2 linked regions of the Coturnix japonica genome follow. The protein of the gene in region 1 interacts with the protein of each later gene in a pairwise test. Links are inferred from orthologs where the notes say so. Each region holds a gene or a part of one and is shown in the gene's direction. Other genes may lie near its edges.

Region 1 (9,689 bases):
ACTTGTTCCCGCAGAGGGCTGAGGATATCTGGGTGGTTGGATCCATCCAGCCCATCCTGAATGCAGTGAGCAGCATCCATCAGGGAGCTCACTGTCTTTGAAAAGACAGCCCTAGTTTGAAGGCAGGAGCATTTCTCCGCACAAAGGGCCATGGCTGCTTTCAGCTCAAGAATGGACTTGGCCAGCTGCTCAACCCAAACCAGCAGGCCGTTCCTGAAGATGGGGTCTGTTGCTCTATCCACATACCTGACAGCAGCTTCAGTGACCCACCGAGCCCAACTGGTGAGGACAGCAGCATGCCTAGAGAGCCTTTCGGGGTCCTGATGTTGTAGGGCCTTGTCACACCATTCCTTGTGCTTGGCCATTTCCTGGATGGACACCTTCATGAACTCATGCATGCTGATTGTGTCCTCAAAACACTGCAAGAGGTTTTCTGTTGTCCTGGCCCATGCGTGGTACAAGGACTGCAGCTGCTGAGCAGTGCTCGCGTGGGTTGGATTTCTGCTCATTTCTGTGAGCACCGGAGGGAGACTGGCAAGGAGGCTCTTCAAGTGCTCTATGCAGTCGTGGATTTCTGTAGCAGTTTGAGGTTTGGTGCACCTGCCCAGGACAAAGTCTGTCACTCTGAGCACCTGCTGGGCATGTGTGAAGAAGGTGGCAGTGAGGGGCTGAAGCTTCTTCAGTAATCCTCCCTGCTCTGCTGGAAAATACCCTGTATTTGCATGGGTAAGAGCTTCCTCTACTAACTGCCTCAGGGGCTCCTTAGCCTCAGAGAAGGCATTGAGGATTTCATGCAGAGTAGCTTTGAGCACAGCCTGGTCAAGGTCCTTCACCTCCTTTCTCATGGTGTGACATTCCTCCTGCAGGCTGCTTTCTCCCCAGCTTGGCCTTGTCCGTCCCTCCTGCTGACTTACGTGGCAGCAAATGCTCTTTCTGAGCTGTAGGAGAACCCAGCAACGTTTTACCAGATCCTGCTTTAGATCTGCCCTGCACATCTCTGCTAGAAGCATGCAGTAGAAAACTACTGCTTCCACGTGAGCGCTGAACTCGCTGTCAGAGAGGTGAACTGGGTCTGGGTGGTAGAGGAGAGCCAGCAGCCTTTGCACATGATGGGAGAAGGTCCCGTGTCTGTCCTGAAGCTCATTGCTGCCCTTGCTGTTGACAAGCAAAGAAACAAGCTCTTGGATGGTCCTCTCCATCAGCTGGAAGGCATAGTTTTTGGAGCAGTTGACTCGTTGAGGCCAGGAGCACTGAAGGTGGCGGTGCTTGGATTCATGGATCAGAGGAACGCACTCCTGAAGGAGCTGCAAAGTCTGGGCCAAGCGGGTCCGTCGAGGAGAGTCTTGGAGTTCCTGGAGGTGCTGTGCTGTCAGATTGCTCAGCAGAAGAAAGGCCTTGGAGAAGTCCTGGAAAGCACCCAGCAGTCCTGGCACATCCCCCGTATCCCGCAGCGTGCCCAGGCACTCCAGCAGCCAGCTGGCAGCCTGCGTTATCCTCCTTGTCCCAGCAGCACCTTCGATCCGAAGGATCTAGTGCAGCAGAAAGCAAAGGCAGCGTGGATAAGGTTATGCATCACTGTTGCATCCCTCTGGAAATGATACTGTATCTGCAGCTGGGAAGAAAAGAGGTGTGTAGTGCCCAGCAGGCCTGCCCTAGTGAGCACATAGGGAGTCCTGGCATTATCAAGGTTGGATGAGACCAGCAGAATCATCCAGTCCAACCCCACCGTGCCCACTGCCCACGTCCCTCAGTGCCACATCCCCACGGCTCTGGGACACCTCCATGGACGGTGACCCCACCACTCCTGTGCAGCTGTGCCACTGCATCACCGCTCTGTGGAGAAGGAATTGTTCCTGATACCCACCGTGAATTACAACCGGGCACAACATGAGGCCATCCACTCTCACCCTATTGAAGAAACAACTGTTGCTCCAACTAGAGCTCCCGCAGCTGGTCCCAGCCATCTCATCCCTCCTCCAGCTTCACCCTCCCCACCAGCACCATCCCCTCCGGCATTACCTTCACGGTCTCAGTGAGGACGCCCTTTGCTGCTGCAGCCAGCACCTCCCTGTGGCTGTGGCTGTCCGGCTGTCCCTGCAGCTGTTGGGCTGCCTGCAGCACGTGCCTCCCTGCCATCATGAGGGACTGGGCTGTGAGTTGTGTCTCCTCCTGGTATACCTTGTCACTGGATTGCTCGGCCAATCTGGAAGAAAAGCCTCAGAGCTCAGCATGTCCCCATTCCATAAGTACCACCCATCGGCCAGCAAAATTACCTTCTTGCAGCAGAAGCGAGTTCATCAGTGGCTTTGGCTAATCTTTCTGCATTCTCCTCTATATTGGGTAAGGTCTGACACATCCCATCTTCCTGTTCCAGGGCGAGGATTAGATGACAGAGCTCTGCGGCCATGGGGCAAAGGATCCTCTGGATAGCTTTGTTTTCTGTCTGTATTCCAAGATCATAGAGATAAAAAGGCTCCATTGTGTCCTGCCTGGAAAAGAAGGGAAATAAAACCTGGAATGGTTTGGGATCCTTCACAACGTGTGATCCGTTTCAGCAGCAATCTTGGGCTGGAGGAAACCCTGGAGGCCATTGGAGCGTTGAGTGCAGCACCAACCTGCAGGAGGGAAGGTGTGCTGTGAGTGACCCAGAGCTTCCCAGCCCTGCTGTAAGTGGAGCCCGTGTGTGCGTCCCATCGAGGTGCCGCAGTGCTGACAGCTCAGCTCTTAGCAGCTCCCACTGCAGCTGGTGTTATGTGAGCCTGGGCCGCACAGCGATCACCTTCCCTGGTATTGAGTTCTGCACCTGCAGAGAGCTCTGGGGCAGCGATCCAAAACCACGTGGGCAACTTAATGATTAATTCCCTTTGCGGATGCTTTGAAAAGCACAGGTCTGAAGGACAGGACCAGGAGCTGCAGCCCAGGGGCAGCACACAGCCAGGCTTCCCCTGTGGGCTTTCTCACTTTGTAAGCAGCAGATGTGGCTCCTTTTGGCAATAGGTGAGACCCACTTGGCAGCTCCAACCCGCCCTGCATCACCCAGCCCGTGTGTTGCCATGTTTGTGTGCAGCCCAGCACATCTTGGCCAAGCACACTGCAGCGATGGCGCTGGCATCCAGCGCACAACAGGGATGCTGGTGCCAAACTGCTTTGCCAAGAAGAAGGAATTCATCTCTACTTTGAGGAACGGGACAGGAAATGGGCAAACTGATTGCCTCTTCTCCTGGCTTTTCCTGTGCACGTTCACTGATGGAGAGCAGCCGCAGGGAGACCCTTCTGTGTTCTTGTGCAGCCCGAGGCCGTGCGCTGCGTGCACGCATCGTGCGCTGCGCACCGTGCTCCGCCTCCGTGCGCGCTCCCGGAGGAGGAAGAGGAGGAGGAGGAAGAGGAGGAAGAGGAGGCGGCTCCGGGCCTGGCCGAGCGCTGCCGCGATGGACAACTCGGGGAAGGAGCGGGAGGCCGTGCAGCTGATGGCCGAGGCCGAGAAGCGGGTGAAGGGCTCGCACTCCTTCCTGCGGGGGCTCTTCGGGTGAGCGAATCTGGGATGGGGAGGGGGAGAGGTTGCAAGAGGAAAAGGGGGCTGCGAAATAACGGGGTGGTGCGGTGCGGGGAGGTGGGGGTTGCGAAAGGGAGATGCGATGGGGAGGGGATGCAAAAAGGGGGAAATTGCGGAGGTGGGGTGATCGGCGTGCAGGGGGGTGCATAAGGGGGATTGCACGGCCCGGACGACACCCCCGCCCCATAAGCAGAGCAGGGGGTGGCGGCTCGGTGCACGCAGATGCTGTGCTGGGTGGGCGGCTGTGGATGTGTCCGCATGGCAAAGGCCGGCTGTGTTTTGCTGAATAATTGCTGGCACGACACGGGGAGCGGAGGGTGGGAGCCGCGGTGCCCGCAGGGTGCTGTGAGCAGCGCTGTGCAGGCACTGAAACCCGCCTGCAAAGAGGCAAAAGAGGCTTGATGCTCTCTCCTGCTCTCGTCCAGGGGTAACACCAGAGTGGAGGAGGCCTGTGAGATGTACACCAGGGCTGCAAACATGTTCAAGATTGCCAAAAATTGGAGCGGTGAGTGCGGCCTGGGGGAGGGGGGGCAGGACCGAGTATTTGTGCTGTTAAATGGGTCCGTCTGGGGACAGCTTACCACGCTAAACTGGAGCTATAGCAGCCCTCGGGGTGCTGATGTTGTGGGAGGAGGTTTGCACGGAGCCCAGCATCGCTGTGCTGACCTGGGTTGGAAATGCCTTTGGGGCTGTTGAAACTCTGAAGCTTTCCTGGTGCCGGGTGGTTGGCGGCTGTTTCCCTGCAGTTCTGTTCTCTCTGTGGGGTACACTCGGTGCTGTGCTTCTATTCCAGCTGCAGGGAACGCCTTCTGCCAAGCAGCCAAGCTGCACATGCAGCTGCAAAGCAAGCACGACTCGGCCACCAGCTTTGTGGACGCTGGGAACGCCTACAAAAAAGCAGACCCACAAGGTACAGGGGATCAAATCCGGGATTGTTTAGTGCAAATCTTCTTAGCAGCATAGGAGCGCAGCGCCACGGCTTTCAGAGTCAGCTGGTCCGTGTGCCTGGAGAGCCTCTATGCAGCCTGCTGGGGATTACTGCCATTTCTTCCTTGTGCCATCTCTCCGGCATGAGAGAGATGCTTTCTGTTGGCTGGACGTGGCTCGTCCTGATGGTTGTGTCACCGCCTGGTGTCGGGGCTGCTGTGGGATGGTTGAGGTGGGCTCAGTGGGTGAGATTCCCCTGAAGCTGAGGGCTCAGGGTCTTCAGCCCCATAGACATCCAGGTGTGCCCCCAGATGTTCCACATCTCTCAAGTTGTTTTTTGGGGGGAAAGTCTTAAAATGGGCGCTCTGGTGTGCCAGCTGACTTTGTGTTGTTTTTCTGAACACACATGCTGCAGAGGCCATCAACTGCTTAAATGCAGCTATCGATATCTACACCGACATGGTAAGAGGCTGGGGTTGGGGCTGAGCTGTGTGTCCAAGGCACGGTCACTGTGCCCACGTTATGACTGTGCGCCAGGCGGGGAGGAACCTCCTCTCACAGCACTTCTGTCCTCCCCAGGGGCGGTTCACCATCGCAGCCAAACACCACATCACCATTGCAGAGATCTATGAGGCCGAGCTGGTTGACATCGAGAAGGTAAGAGTGCCAGACCCTGTGTTTGCTGCTGTAGGGCACTGAGATCCCGAAGCATCACCTTTATTAAACATGCTTTGGAGTCTGGGGCTGTTAACAAGCATGTGGGTGAACGTTCAAGGGCAGCATCGCGTTTTGAGTTTGCTGGGTGCCCCTCTTGACCCACAGCCCCACAGCGTGTCGTCATCTCACTCCTTTCATCTGCAGAGCGGAAAAGCTTTTGTGAGCATGGTCACTGTGCACTGATCTAACCCAAACCCCCGCTGCAGAAGCAGTGTTCAAGCATAATGTTTCTGTCCCCAGGCGATTGCGCACTACGAGCAGGCTGCGGACTATTACAAAGGAGAAGAGTCCAACAGGCAAGTGGGCTTTGGGAAGTGGTTCCTTCTAGCAGGGAAGGGTTGGAAATGGGGACTTGCCCTAGATTGCATACATCCTCATACTCCTCACCCAACAGGCTCTTCTAAAACATCCTTTGGTAGGATGCCCAAATCCTACGTGATTATTTTAAGCCTAGCAGGTGCCCGTGCGTCATGCCAGTTGGGTTTCTAAAGGATGCTTACATTTCTGTGCAGGGTTCTTATGCTGCAAGCAGACTCATCTTGGTTGGTGTGCCTGTTCTAGGTGCATAGAAAGCACAAAGAGATGAGCGATGTCTGACATCTGGTCGGGCTGTGAGGTCTTTGTGCTTTTCCCTGGGTGTTTGTTAGTCACCTACTTTGTAGCTCGTGGGTTCTGCCTTTTTAGGCAGCAGGCGGAGGCTGGGATGCATGCAGGTGCTTGCAGGTGGCATGGATGCTCTCCTTCCTCACTTATTTTCTGGTATGGATTGCAGCTCAGCCAACAAATGTCTGCTGAAGGTGGCTGCCTACGCTGCGCAGCTGGAGCAGTACCAGAAGGCGATAGAAATCTATGAGCAGGTGAGGTGGGGCAGCCTGTCCTTCTGTGCCTGCAGGCAACACCGCCTGGGCTGGGCGCTGGGTTGCCCTGTTGGGCCTCACTTAAAGAAATCTGAAGGTGGGGATGGGTTTTCCTCTTCGGTGTCTCCCCCTAAAGCTGTCTGGCTGCCCCATAACTGTTTGCACAGACACTGGCATTTGTCATGGCTTTTATTTGCAGACGCTTGGGTGGTACTCTGTGCGGTTTTAATCAGGTGTCGTGCTTGTAATTCAGTTCCTACTGATGCACGTTTCTTTCCCAGCTCCAATAATTCCTTTTTATGCCCAGGTCGGAACAAACACGATGGATAATCCTTTGCTGAAGTACAGCGCAAAGGAGTATTTCTTCAAAGCTGCTCTGTGTCACTTCATTGTGGATGAGCTGAACGCTAAGGTCAGTGGGCTCAGAGTGGCTGCCCCAACCTCCTGCAGCCATGCTGACCAGGGAGGTGTTTCTGCAGGCTTTTATAGGGGCTTGTAGCTGGTGCTGTCACCTGCTGATAGCTGAATCGCTACCAGACTCCAGCATAAGCAGGATGGAGGGTGAACTGCAGCACATCCAGAGTGATGCTCAGGGGTAAATCAGGGCACGTGCTACTGCAGTGTCCAGTGCAGAGTTTTCTGCTTCCTTCCCAGCCTGTGCTCTGGCTGTGTCTGTTTGGTTCTTGCTGAGTGATATATTGGGCCACGGCTCTGAGCAGATTGAGGCCAGATCTGACCCTGCCTCTTCCTTTCCTGTTCTTGTTGGGTTTGCTCTGAATGATTTCTGTGTGGTTTTAGGACCAGAAGAGAAAAAAGTGAAATAAGAAGTGAGGAACTGTGTGTGAAAAGAGCCTGAGGGTGTGCTTCTCTCTTTCAGCTGGCGCTTGAGAAATACGAAGAAATGTTCCCAGCCTTTACAGATTCACGGGAGTGCAAGCTATTGAAAGTAAGTAAAGACAGCATTAAAATAACATGCTCACATTTAGAACTGTAAACTGCCCTTTGTGCTTTTTTTCGCCTTGCCACGGGTTTGGCCTTCTTTTCAAAACGCCTTAAGGGACATCAGACTCGTTCTGTGTTGGATTCAGACCAGGCGGGTGGGAGTAGCAGCAGCAGAAAGATGATTATTGTGGTTAACTTGAACAAACCTGGGTTTGTGTTTGTGGTGGGGAGTTGGTAGGTTGCAAAGGTCCCCCCTCATGGAGGGACTTGCAGTATTGTCTGACTTGTCATGGTGTTCTCCTAGAAACTGCTGGAAGCCCACGAGGAGCAGAACTCCGAGGCGTACACCGAGGCAGTAAGTACCCACCAATCTCTGTGTTTCTATCTGGGGCTCTTTGAGGCGGCCTCCCTTTTTCTCTTGTTTAACAGAGCTCTTTTCTACCTCGGGAAGAGCTGAAGGTTTAAAAGATTACACTTCAAGAGATGCACGGTGCTTGTTTTTGCGGCTGCTTTCCGACTGCTTTTCTCTTTCCCTTTAATAGGTTAAAGAGTTCGATTCGATATCGCGGTTGGATCAGTGGCTCACAACCATGTTGCTTCGCATCAAGAAGTCAATTCAAGGAGAAGGGGACGGCGACCTGAAGTGAATTATTCGTGGTGTTTGTGGCATGCAGCCTAAGTCATTTGTTCTCGTGTTACAGCCAAGGACCACTCCAGGATACGTGATAAAATATCTAGCTTAATTTTGTTGCTTCTAAGTCCCAATGACTGTGTGTTTCTTTAGTACCCTGCTCTTTGTTGTGGCAACGTGGGTAGTTGAGAAGCCGTGCTCTGGGTTATCACTGGCAGGTTTTTCTAAGGTGAAAGGAACACCTCTGGCAGAAATCTTTGTGTTTTTTTGTTATTGATCACCCTGAAGTTTGCACTTAGAACTCCTTTTTTCCCTTCCTGTTCCGTCTTAAGGTTCAATACCATTGAATTGAGCATGTACATTTTTGTGCCAGTGCAGTACAAATAGTAGATGCTGATCTGCTGCTGTATCATTGTTTCCTGTTTTTAAATGAACCTCTGCCAGATACACTTGAATCTTGTGGTTGTTTTGTTTTGTTTTTTTAACGATTGAGCTTTTTAAATGGTGCTAGTGAACAGCTTTGTGACTCCTAGACACAGATACACGTGTGCTGGAAGCATCGCACATCAGAGGGCAGGAGAGCAGACCTAGTTAACCGTGTATTTTGTATTTAAGATCTAAATATAAAGTGTAAGGCTCTTCTCTATTTTCTTGGATCTATTTTTCCACTTTGTTCTGTGGCACAGCCCCTGACCCTGCTACCCTACGATGACTTGACCCACGTAATAATATATTTTTCTAACTTCTCATTTAAATCAGCTCCCGTTGCTGTCTCCTGCAGGTCTTTTGTGTGTGCCAGGCACTGCCCCTTAGCTTCAGTCCCTTTTGCTGTTGACTCAGCTGCCTCGTTGTTGTGACGTGCAGAGGTGTTGGCGGAGGCTTGGCACTGAGCAGGACCCTTGTCTTATTAGGTGTTTGGGTAACAGATGGATGGAGCGTGCTCTGAAGAGATGTAGGCGCTTTAGAAATTCTCCTTGTCGTTTTAGAGATGTGTTTTCAAATGGCTGCAACCAAAGCTCCTCTGTGCAACGCGTTGTTTGACTAGCACTGATGAAGCTACCTACAGTCCAGCGTATAGACTGGCAGACCTGTGAGCCTATGCAATCTGTCAGCAGTTGTCACTTGGCATTTCTCTGCAGTGGAGTGAGACACTAAGAATGGAGACGTAGCTGCTTTAGCAGCAGTGCTGGTGGTGGCAGCTCTGGTGGGTACTGCTGCAGTTTGGAGTCTGTCTTTTGTTTCTCTCGCTGTAAGGATTCTGTCTGCTCCTGTCCTGGCAGCCCATGTGTTGGCTTTCACTGCTCTGTTTTTATTCTTTATGTTTATTGGAGTAGAAAACCATTCGATCAACAGACTGACCTAAAAGGGATCAGTAGTTGTGAAGCAGTACTGTTATTTCCTGCTTGCTCAAGAAAACCAAAACTCACTGCTGCTTTGCACATTTGTTTTTTTTCTGACTCTTCTCTCCAGTCACTTCTTCTCCATAGGCTGTTCTATGCATCAGAACATGGAAGGTGAGACCCAGGAGCTGTGCAGATCTAGGATGAGTCCAGTGAGCTGGGAAGATGCTCGGTCTCCCACACAATTTCAGTTTCCTCACATCTCAGGTGTGTTTTTATGGCCAATGTCTGGCTGCAACAAATCCATCACTGCAGCCTAACTCACCTCATTTCACATCTGTCTGTCACATGGCCTTGCCTAAGAAAGTCTCTGAATTACAGCTCTGTCTGCTCATCTTCATCAGAGTTGCTCAGCCCATCAGAAACATGAAATAAGGGGTTTTTTCCCAGCATGGCCTGGGGCTGTACCAGCATCCTCCATGTGTTCTATACCCAAAAATACTGGGCATGGGCATAGGACACAGCTAGTGTGATTGGCAGGTAGAGAATCTCAGAGCAAGAGTTAGACTGGCTGCAGGTATGGTCTCATTTTGTACAAGAGGACCCAAAGATGGTTTCATTTGTCTCTTTGCTAAGCATAGGCACAGCCTATAGAGAGGTTTGTCTTGACTTGGCTCCAGCACCTTTATAGCCCTACTGAGGGGAGGTTTTACTTCTGTTAA
Region 2 (9,689 bases), on another chromosome or scaffold:
TTCTCTGTCCGCGTGTGATCTGGGCAGGCTGGAAAGGAGCTGACAAACAATTCGCAGCCCTTCGGCACAGCTGCCGTTTCCCGAAATAGCGGGGCCGGCAGACAAAGGTGGCTCGGAGCGAGCAGGAAACCCGGGGGGCCGAGCGGCGGGGAGCCCGCAGCCCCACCTGGAAAGGAAAACAATGCGAGATAAAAGAGGCTCGGGACAGGAAGCAGCTTGCGGTACAACATCGTAATCGCAGAGGCTGCGCACACGGCTGCTTTTTTATAGGCGATTCAATCAGCTCCGGGAAGTTCGCTCGGGGGCTGGCGCTGCTGCCTCGTGGCACGGGCTGCCCACGGCCCGATGGCCGTCTCATATCAGCTCTCTGTCCGCCTCCCTCGCGCTATCGGAAATATAAGGCGAACGGCGCTTTGTCACGTCCCGGCAGCTCTCGGGTCCCGCTGCCATCAGCGCCGGGCCGGGCCGGGCCATCTGGCACGCAGCGCGGCCCCCGACCTGTCGCCGAGTGCGGATGTGGTTACCCAGATCCTGTTCCAAGCTGGCGCCGACCCTCCGGCAGCCGGCACTGCGCCTTGTCAACACATGTGAGCCGGGCAGATACTCTGAAGGAATGGGGAGCGATCCCGGAGACATCCAGGTGTCCTCCAAGCACGGGATCCTGGAGCCTCCCCGGTGCATCATCGCCCTTCTCTTGGTTCGGGGGTTGGGCTCCTCCTGGGACACAGACTCTCACACCAGCAGCGTGGTAGGGGATAAAACCCTTCGTACTGAGCTTCCCCAAGTGACAATGGACCTCCAGGACATCTCCAGGCTCCACTGATGAAGCAACCATTCCCAAACAGGGCTTCGTTTTGTAGCCAGAGATAAGAGATATCTAACGCTGAGCATCGTTTGGGTTGATTCTTCCCTCCTAGATAAATCAATGGTTGACACAGATGCAGTCTCAGCCTCCCGCTGTTGGGTATGGGTAGGTAATGCTCCCCGGTTCCCATCTGCTCTGGGTTATCTGTGTTTGAAGACAAGGGCAGAGAGAACATCCCCAAATACTAAGCACTGCTGGGTGACAACCCAACACAACACGCAAGCGAAACAAAGAAAGCAACACAGACCTAAAGCTGAAGGAAGGGAAGTGGCTCCCCCAGCTTCTGAGAGTGCTCTGTACCTGCACTGGAAACCACAGCCTCGCGTTCACACAGCGCAGCACCGTACTAGAAAGCAAAGGGGTTTTTCCAAGGTTAAAACCCCTCTTCCATTCGGGGAGATCATAGAAAGGCTTAGGTTGGAAGGGACCTTAAAGATCAGTGAGCCCCAACCCTGCCGTGGGATGGCTGTCCCCTACCAGTCAGGCTACCTAGGGCTCCATCCATGACCTTACAGGGATCCATCCAGAGTTAGGGCACCCACAGCTTGTCTGAGTTTGGATAAGGATGTAGATGGTTATCAGCTCCTTCAGGCAGCCATTTCCCTTGGAAAAAGGTGGCCCCACAGCTTACAGTCCTTTATGAAATTGGCTTTGGTTTCCTGGGGAAAGAACACATTTATTTGTCCGGGGTTTCCTATCAGACAACCCTTCTATTGTAGTCCACCTTCCTGTATTTTGTTCCTCTGGTCCTTTGGTCCTCCTGGTGCCCAGGAGAAGCCCAGCACAGCACTGGGCTGCTGCTCACATGATGCCGACTGGGTGATTTGCTCTGTGCCCTGAGGGATGCTCTCACTCCGTGCCAAACAGGAGCCTGGGTTCACCTGCAGCCCAGCACAGGGTTAAATCCACACATCAGAGCCAGCCGAAGCCGCAGCCCTGCAGACTGTAGGGTAGGCTGCCTGCCCAAAGGAGTCACAGTCTAATTATTTTCTCTCCCTGCATCTCAAAGTCACCTTCCTTTTAGCTGGCAGGCAAGTGCCGGCTGCAGCCCTGCGCACGTCGTGGAGCACAGATGTGCCCTGTGTCCCACAGCTTCCTGCTGGATGGCAATGACACTTGTGTCACGCTGCCATGCTCCAAGCTAACAGTGAGGGACCACGTCCAGGCATCCTCAGAGTGGCATTCAAGGACAGAGCAGCTCACAGAAACATCAAATCACGGCATTGTAGAATCATGTAATCACAGCACCATAGAATGGTTGGGTTGGAAGGGACCTCAAAGCCCACCCAGTCCCATCCCCTGCCAAGGGCTGGTTGACCCCCACCAGATCAGGCTGCTCAGGGCCCCATTCAGCCCTTTGTGTTGAATCCCTCTCTCCAAAATGAAGAGAAAGCATGAAATGTCTGTGCCTCTTTCCTCTTGTGAGGACCTTCCTTTGCCACCTTGCCCTCTTGCGGGGCTGACTGTGTGACAAGGAGTTTGGGTACAAAAGCCACCCGTGGACATGGGGATAATGAGGACTGTTGATGGGGTGAGGTGGCCAGAGAAAGTTGCTTCTAATTAGTGCCTGGAATGGATTCTCTGGTCACACACGTGGGTGCCCCAGACCTCCTCTGTGACCCACTATAACAGTGCAGCTCCCACTATCCACCCCACAGATGGGGCCAGTCTAAGTCCTGTCACCAATCCATCAAGTCTTGCCAAACCAGCACCTCATTACCCAGATAAATAATCCTTTTTAGCTGCAGGTAAGCCCTGAGCATGGCCAGCATCCTTACAGGCTCAGTGCTGTCTGCCCCTTTCTCACTTCTCACTTCTCACTTCTCAATTAAGTCACAGCAGGTTTCTAAACACGATGCTCATGGAACCTCTTTATAAACCACAATGTAAACCCTTGCAGCCCACCACAGCAATGACTGTTTAGCCACAGACTGATGTTTCCCATCCAGTTATCACTGCCTTAACCCTCCCCTCACAACCACCATTGAAAAGCCACCTCTACTATATCAAATACACCTTGTTAGCAGCAGGCTGAGCACATCCCTGTGCATGTACATACATGCCATAGGAATTCTCCTGATAAAGCATTCCGTGAGCCCTGTGCTTTCTTGCAGGTTGGATTGTGATGAGCTGGAGCTTCCCAGTGTTTCATCAGATCCTCCCTGGCCAGTTCTGCAGCTGGCTAATGCTCACCAACATGAGGAAAGCTAAAAGCTGCCTGGCCTTTCCAAGCCAAAAACCTGAGCTTGGATAGCAAGATGAGCCTACTGTGAAACAACAGCAGTGCAGTCTTATGCAAGAAAACCCCCATTCATCATTTCCAGCATCAAAGAAAAGCTTTCTGCCTTCATTCTCCCTATGAAGTTCATGTCTTAGCCCAGCATACAGCCACCTCCTGCTGTATGCACCCAAGTCGCTGTGTTTTCCCATGCCCATAAACCAGTCCGACGTGTGTCCTCACCCCTGACTCGTGAGTAAGCGTGCTGCGATTGCAAAAGCCACTCACCTGGTTCCCATGCTGAGGAGGCATCTCTGCAAATGGGTTTTCCATAAGCAAAGCAGCACTGCCTTGGCTAAGGGAGGCTGGGCCTGAGCATGGGGGTGTGGGGCACAGCGGGATGGGGGCAGCTGAGGGATGGGGTGGTGTGGAGGAGCTCAAGGGAGATCTTATTGCTCTGTATAACAGCCTGAAAGGAGGCTGTGGTGAGGAGGGGTCGGCCTCTGCTCCTGGTAACAGCGATAGGATGAGAGGTGATGGATGGCATCAGGTTGTGCTAGAAGTTCAGGTTGGGTATGAGGAACATTCCCCCTCCAGAAGAGCAGTGAGGCACGGGACTCACTGATCTTGAGTGTCATGGAGGTACTGGGGACACTGTAGGTGTTACAGAGCAGTGGAAATACGGCACTGAGCGACACAAAGAGTGACACTGGAGGGGTTGGCAGCCGGGCTGCCCCATCCCAGCGCTGAGGGGAGGCGCAGCCGACGCCATGGCGGGACGGGGCGGGCGGCTGGCAGCGGGCAGCCGCGCATGCGCGCAGGGCGGAGCGCTGGGCAGCCGGGGCGCTCGGCGGCGTCGGCGCCATCATGTCGATGGAGGATCCGTTCTTCGTGGTGAAGGGGTGAGGGATGGGGTTGGGTGTGGGAGAGGAAAGGTGAGGGTTGGGGAGCTGGAGGGGTCTGTGAGGGGGGAGGGAGAGGAGGGAGCTAGGGATGCGAGGGGGAATGTGGGGGGTGGGGGCTGTGAGGAGGAGAATGAGTGCTGGGGTAATAGGGAGGCCTTGAGGGGGAGGGAATGGGCTGGGAAGGGGATGGATGAGGGTGAGAGGTGTGGGGAGAAGAGTGTGGGGTGGGGGATTCTGAGGGGAGGTGTGAAATGGGGGGGTGTGGGGCTGGGGGTGGTGAGGGGCCAGCAGGGATCTGGGGGGTCAGTAGGGACCTGGGGGGGCTGAGAGGTCAGCATGGATCTGATGGGTCAGCAGGGATCTGGGGGTCTGTGAGGGGTCAGCAAGGATCTGGGGAGGAGGGCTGTGAGGGACCAGCAGGGATCTGGGGGGCTGTGAGGGGCCAGCAGGGATCTTGACAGTTCTGTGAGGGTTCTGCCCCCACTGTCACCCCCAAAGCCATTCCCAGCTGTCCTTATCATCGATCAGCAGCACGTGGGATGTGAGGTTGGACATGTCACCGTGCAGTGGGCAGAGCATGGCTGGATGCAAAGCTGCTTCTCACCGAGGGTATCCCCAGAGCACCAGAGCATAGTGACCATGCTGAGAGATGATCTGAGGAAGAAACACACATGGATAGTGGCACTGAGGAAAGCCTGAACAAAGACAAACACAAAACAAAGGCAGTTGAGGTCAGAGGAAAGGGAAACTGGAATTAATAGGGGGGGGGGAAAGAAGCTTAGCTTCCAAAATTCAGCGTGCAGCCACTTTCAACTCCTGCTGTTGCTATCCTGCTCCACGTAGCAGTGGCACAGTGCTCAGGAAGGGCAGTGGGAAAAGCCAGGTGAGCACAGGAGGTGTGGGAAAGGCTGCAGGGCAGCCAGCAGAAGGGGATTGCTGCCAAGCTAAGCTGATGCTGGGGGGAACAAATGCTAATCGTTGTGGGTGGGAAGCAAACAGCCGGTCAGACTTTCCAGAGGGTTTCCCGCGCCATAAGGGGAAGGGCTGGGAGGGGAGAGAGATGTTGTGTTGTTCCTGGTGTTAATTATTAGCCAGCAGATTACAGTGGAAGGAGTTGAGCCCAGCCACATGGCATTCAGTTTGCTTCCCTGGTGCTTGTAACTCCTCCTGTTAGGGTGTCCAGCTTTGAATCCCTGCTGGTAGGTGCTTTTCCAAGTACACACAGGTGAAATAAACCAGAACTTTTGCTTGCAAGCAGCAGAGAGAACAGAGCAGAGCTGCTGACCTTAGGGCTTGAGACATGACAGCCATTGACATGGCTGCTGCCGGCTGCAGACGTGGTTCATCCCTTCTGGGCTTTCCCAACAGATAAACTGCTTTCCTTTGCTGGAGATAAATCCCTGCGTCTTACGTGGATGCTGACTTTCTGCTGGCTGACACACCAGCACAACATCGTCTGCATCTCTCATCCTGGACATGAGAGATTTGTTCCCAGGTCAGGGCTGCAGTGTCTGTAGGCACAGAGAATTGCTACCTGCTGCTCGCCCCTGATCGCAAAAGCAGCATTCAGTGCTGTCAGCAAAGCCTGTGTTCCCATGTTGTGAATACACTCGTCTCCAAAAAGCTTAGAGCAGCAGAAAAGACTTCTGTTCCCTAAGCCAGTGTAGTAGAGCTGTGTAGTTTTTTAATGCTAACTTAAGATAAACAGTGCTGGACACAACAGTCTGCCTGACCACTGTGTGGACAGTTCCTATAAACATCATTCATCCTTGGGGTATCTCACTTAGGTAGTCTTTAGAGGAATGCAGCACATTAATTGCCATGAGGGCAGTCTTGTCCAGCCGCTCACACTGCACTGTCTCACCTCTGTGTCACTCAGCAGAAACTACTCCTGATGCAATTGGTCTTCTTGTTAATTGTGGTAGCCGACCTATAAGTTGTTCCTTGTCCCTTTGTGCTTCAACAGGAGAGGAGACTGGGTTGTTCAGTGGGTATGGCGAATCCTTATTGCACAAAATGAACTAGAAGGAAAGGTGCTTGCAGGGAGGCTGCAGTTCCAAGCTCTTCTGGGCATGGCGTGTCCCAGCATGACTGCTGCAGAACAGCTGATGTGGTTCCTTCACTTCTCTTTCTTCACTCCAACCTCAGGGAAGTGCAGAAAGCTGTGAACACTGCCCAGGGGCTCTTCCAGAGGTGGACAGAGCTCTTGCAGGATCCCTCCATTGCCACAAGAGAAGAAATCGACTGGACCACTAATGAGCTCAGGAACAATCTGCGGAGCATCGAGTGGGACCTGGAAGACTTGGATGAAACAATTAATATCCTTTCTGGAGTTCTTTGGAGGTTGGGACACGCAGTTCCCAAGCTGTAATAAGTAGCTACGTCCCAGCTCTCGCTGGTAGTTAATTTTTGCATCAACCAGGACAGTCAGGGATTGAATTTTGCATTTACCTCAGCTTTTCTCAAACAGCAAACGAGTTCAGCAAAAGAATTTCCCTCTGCCTTTTGTCTTCCCTTTGACAAGGTATATTATAAGACGCTTTGTTCTCAGAAGCCTGTTGTGTTGTATGAGTTTGGATTTCTGTGTAGTCACTCATACTGCAGGCTGGCTTCCAAAACTATTCCTTTTCCCTCGTGTTCAGCTCAAAGTACTGCACAGCACTGGGGAGCTGTAAAAAAAGCAGGAGAGAAACCTCATTCTGGTGCATGCATTGTGTTGTATGTTGCTGCCATGCTTTCATTCCTCCAACATCTAGTATTTTACTAATCACATTATAGGAGAAGGTGCAGCACAGTGGAAAACTGCCTCTTTGTGGGTTCCCGTTGGGGCTGTTTGTCTGTCTGTGTGCACTGAATGTCACTCACAGACTCCTTAACTCCTCTCCTACGCATTGTTGAGGCAAACCCTCGGAAGTTCAACCTGGATGCCACGGAGCTGGGTATCAGAAAATCCTTCATCACCAGCACGCGGCAGGTGGTCAGGGTAAGAAGCAAGGATGGGGAAAGAGAAGGCAGCTTGAGTGGTTAAAAAAAGCCAGTAGGGTGACTAGGTCAGTGCTGAACAGGAGAGCAGAGAGTAAGTCTCCTACCTGCCTGTCCTCAGGCTGCCTCCTCATCCCCACATCACATGTTCCCACCGAGGACTGCCTGACTTTAAGCTCACACTCTTAAATATCAGTACTTCACAGAAAGGTGGGCCTGGCAAAGCTCTGCTTGTTGGGCCGCAGCTTCACACAACTCAGTGCTACAGCCAGCATTAAACTCAAGTTCAGTAGCACCTGCAAGAGCAGCAGCATTTATTCACATAGCTGTTAGAGAGGATTCAGAAGCAGGAAGAATATTTTAACAGCTCGGTGGTAATAAATAGAGAATAAAAGTCTCTCTGAAATCTTCACTGTCTGCTTACACACTGGTTAGGAAGTTTTCTCTCTATTAATTGCTACGCTCAGTGCAGCTTAATTTCTGCTTTCCCTCATGGCTCAGATGTTCCTCCTTGACAAGCTGCATTGCTGTGGCTAGCAGCAAGCTTGTCATCCTACCTGCAGTCCAGAGGCAGTTCTTAAGGCTCGCTGCCTGGGAACTGATCCTGAAGCCCCAGCAGCCCCAGCATGCAGTTATTTGACTTAGGTTTTCCATGGAGAGAGTTTGTGATAGAAAGCAGCTTGTGCATTAAAAGTAACCAGGTGGGATCTGCTGCTTGTAAGTGATACATCTCTGAGCAGTAAAACATACCTACGTGTCTTCTGGTGACATCAGAACTCTGCTGGTGGGTAAAGTGAATCAGCACCTGCTGGATCATATTGGCTTCTTGCATATCTGCCCTATAGAAACTGAACTGGTTTGCACTGGAAGTAGGAGCCTCCTGTGGCTGTCTTCTGTAGGAGAGACAGTCAGAGAGGAGGGCCACAGGACAGGAAATCTATCTTGTCCTTTGCAAGATTAAATCAGATACAACTGGGAATGAAATGCAGGCTACGGGCTCCCAAGACCTTCAAGAACGTATCTTCTTTACCGTCTGTCACTGGGAACATTAAGCTGGTATTATACAAATCAAAGTGTTTCTGGCTGAGCAGTTTAATCTAGCTGTAGATGTCCCTCTTCACTGCAGGGTAGTGGGACTTAATGACCTATAAAGGTCCCTTCCAACCCAAATGATTATCTGATTCTATAAAAATGAGTAGTAAGTAAGGGATATTTTCAAAATATCCCATTGCTGTTGATTCTAGTATTGAATAGCAATGAATTGCAGTGGAGCTTTTAAGAGCATTTTTTCCACAGACCCTTCCCTCCCTCCCCACAAAGAAATCTTTCTGGGTATAGACAACTTGGTAGCAAACTGAAGCTGAAAGTCACCTCAAATCCAATGCTTACGTCCTTCTTCTTTCTTTGAACAAACAGGAAATGAAGGATCAGATGTCAAATTCCTCCATGCAAGCACTGGCTGAAAGAAAAAACAGGCAGGTGAGAATCAGAAGTGGGCAAGCTAAGTGAACGCAGTGGTTATTTGGTACTTTAAAGAGCTCGAAGGATTTATCAGTTTTAACAGCTGTTTTGAGACGTGTTAGGTGAAGCTTTCGTATCACTTAGTTTGGACACCCGCACCATAAGGCAGAGCATCTAGCATGGTTAAAGCTCCTTTAAAGCTGTAAGTACCATATATATCCCATTTTGTAGCACATCACCTTACAAACATTTGTTCTGGGAAGGGGCTTGCACGCTGCAGCAAAGCTGTGTGTTTGAGCCATGTCTGTCTCACTGATCTGAGAGCATGGGTTCTGTCAGGCTCGTTGCTGCCACCCTCTTTCAAACCTGTCACTCAGAGCAGTAAGTCACCACTCACCATCTGTCTCCATCTTCAGAAATGCTTGGGTACAGCCATCAGCATTGCATCACCCTGCAGAAGGGGGAATCTCCCTCCACCTCATGAGGAAACAGAATCCAATTCTGTAAATGTAATCCTGTGCTCTGCTGTATTTAGGAGCCAGGATGCCACATCCCTTCACAAATAGCTGCCTCACATGATAATTAACCTTGTAAGAAGATGGAAGAAGCTCAAGGAGTCTCAGGTTGTCTGCTTTTGTAATCTAAGGAATAGAAATAGATGCAGCTTTTGCTTCTCCCTGGCTAGTGAGACTGTAAGGAGATCTTTGAGCTGACTTCCAGAGCTGCCTCTGTTAGAGCTGCCATGCCCTATCTGGCTGCATCATTCTTTATCACTTGTGGCAAAAATGATAAGCTGCAAGAAGATACTGAGAAGCACAGAGTTGGTTTGTCAGCCTGTTACAGGCTTAACTGACGTGCTTGGCAAAAACTTGGAGAAGCAAAGTCCCTTCCTGTCTTGCTCAAACAAGCCTGTAGCTCTCTCTAAGTTTTGCTGCTTTACTTAAAACTGCAAGCTGCAGGAGACCATATGGCCCAGCTTGTGTGGTGACATCTGGTCAGGAAAACTCATTTCCCCTTGACATCTTCCCTCCCCAACCCCTCGCCTTCCCTTAAGTCCGCAGAGCCTTAGCTGAGCTGGGCTACAGCAGCTTCTCCAGCATGTCTCTGTGTCTGAGAGGCCGGCTTTCAGCTAACAGTTACCTGATCCTCATGGACTAAGGCTGGCAAACACAGACTTCCCTCGGGAAGCTGCATCAGAACTTCCTTCCAGGGACCAGATGTCCTCAGCTGGAAAGCCACTTCTCTGCAGGATTTGCAC

The links. The genes of interacting proteins can lie anywhere in the genome.
Region 2: the proteins of NAPB (region 1) and STX6 interact in binary tests that used the Homo sapiens proteins (3 or more experiments, as listed by UniProt). The two-hybrid records come from large-scale screens. The link is inferred for Coturnix japonica from reciprocal best matches to the Homo sapiens genes NAPB and STX6.

What each region holds. Positions count from the first base shown.
Region 1 is NC_029518.1:4,482,936-4,492,624, reverse strand, and holds the start of NAPB (beta-soluble NSF attachment protein), read left to right. Parts: upstream 1-3,354; 5' UTR 3,355-3,428; coding exon 3,429-3,526; intron 3,527-3,978; coding exon 3,979-4,058; intron 4,059-4,346; coding exon 4,347-4,463; intron 4,464-4,895; coding exon 4,896-4,942; intron 4,943-5,059; coding exon 5,060-5,137; intron 5,138-5,437; coding exon 5,438-5,493; intron 5,494-5,969; coding exon 5,970-6,054; intron 6,055-6,361; coding exon 6,362-6,466; intron 6,467-6,931; coding exon 6,932-7,000; intron 7,001-7,300; coding exon 7,301-7,351; intron 7,352-7,538; coding exon 7,539-7,643; 3' UTR 7,644-9,689. Other genes in the region: vinculin-like, read right to left, coding at 1-1,529, 2,020-2,203, 2,274-2,479. UniProt on the Homo sapiens protein: Required for vesicular transport between the endoplasmic reticulum and the Golgi apparatus.
Region 2 is NC_029523.1:5,885,060-5,894,748, reverse strand, and holds the start of STX6 (syntaxin-6), read left to right. Parts: upstream 1-3,893; 5' UTR 3,894-3,950; coding exon 3,951-3,985; intron 3,986-6,136; coding exon 6,137-6,306; intron 6,307-6,876; coding exon 6,877-6,971; intron 6,972-8,386; coding exon 8,387-8,449; intron 8,450-9,689. UniProt on the Homo sapiens protein: SNARE promoting movement of transport vesicles to target membranes. Targets endosomes to the trans-Golgi network, and may therefore function in retrograde trafficking.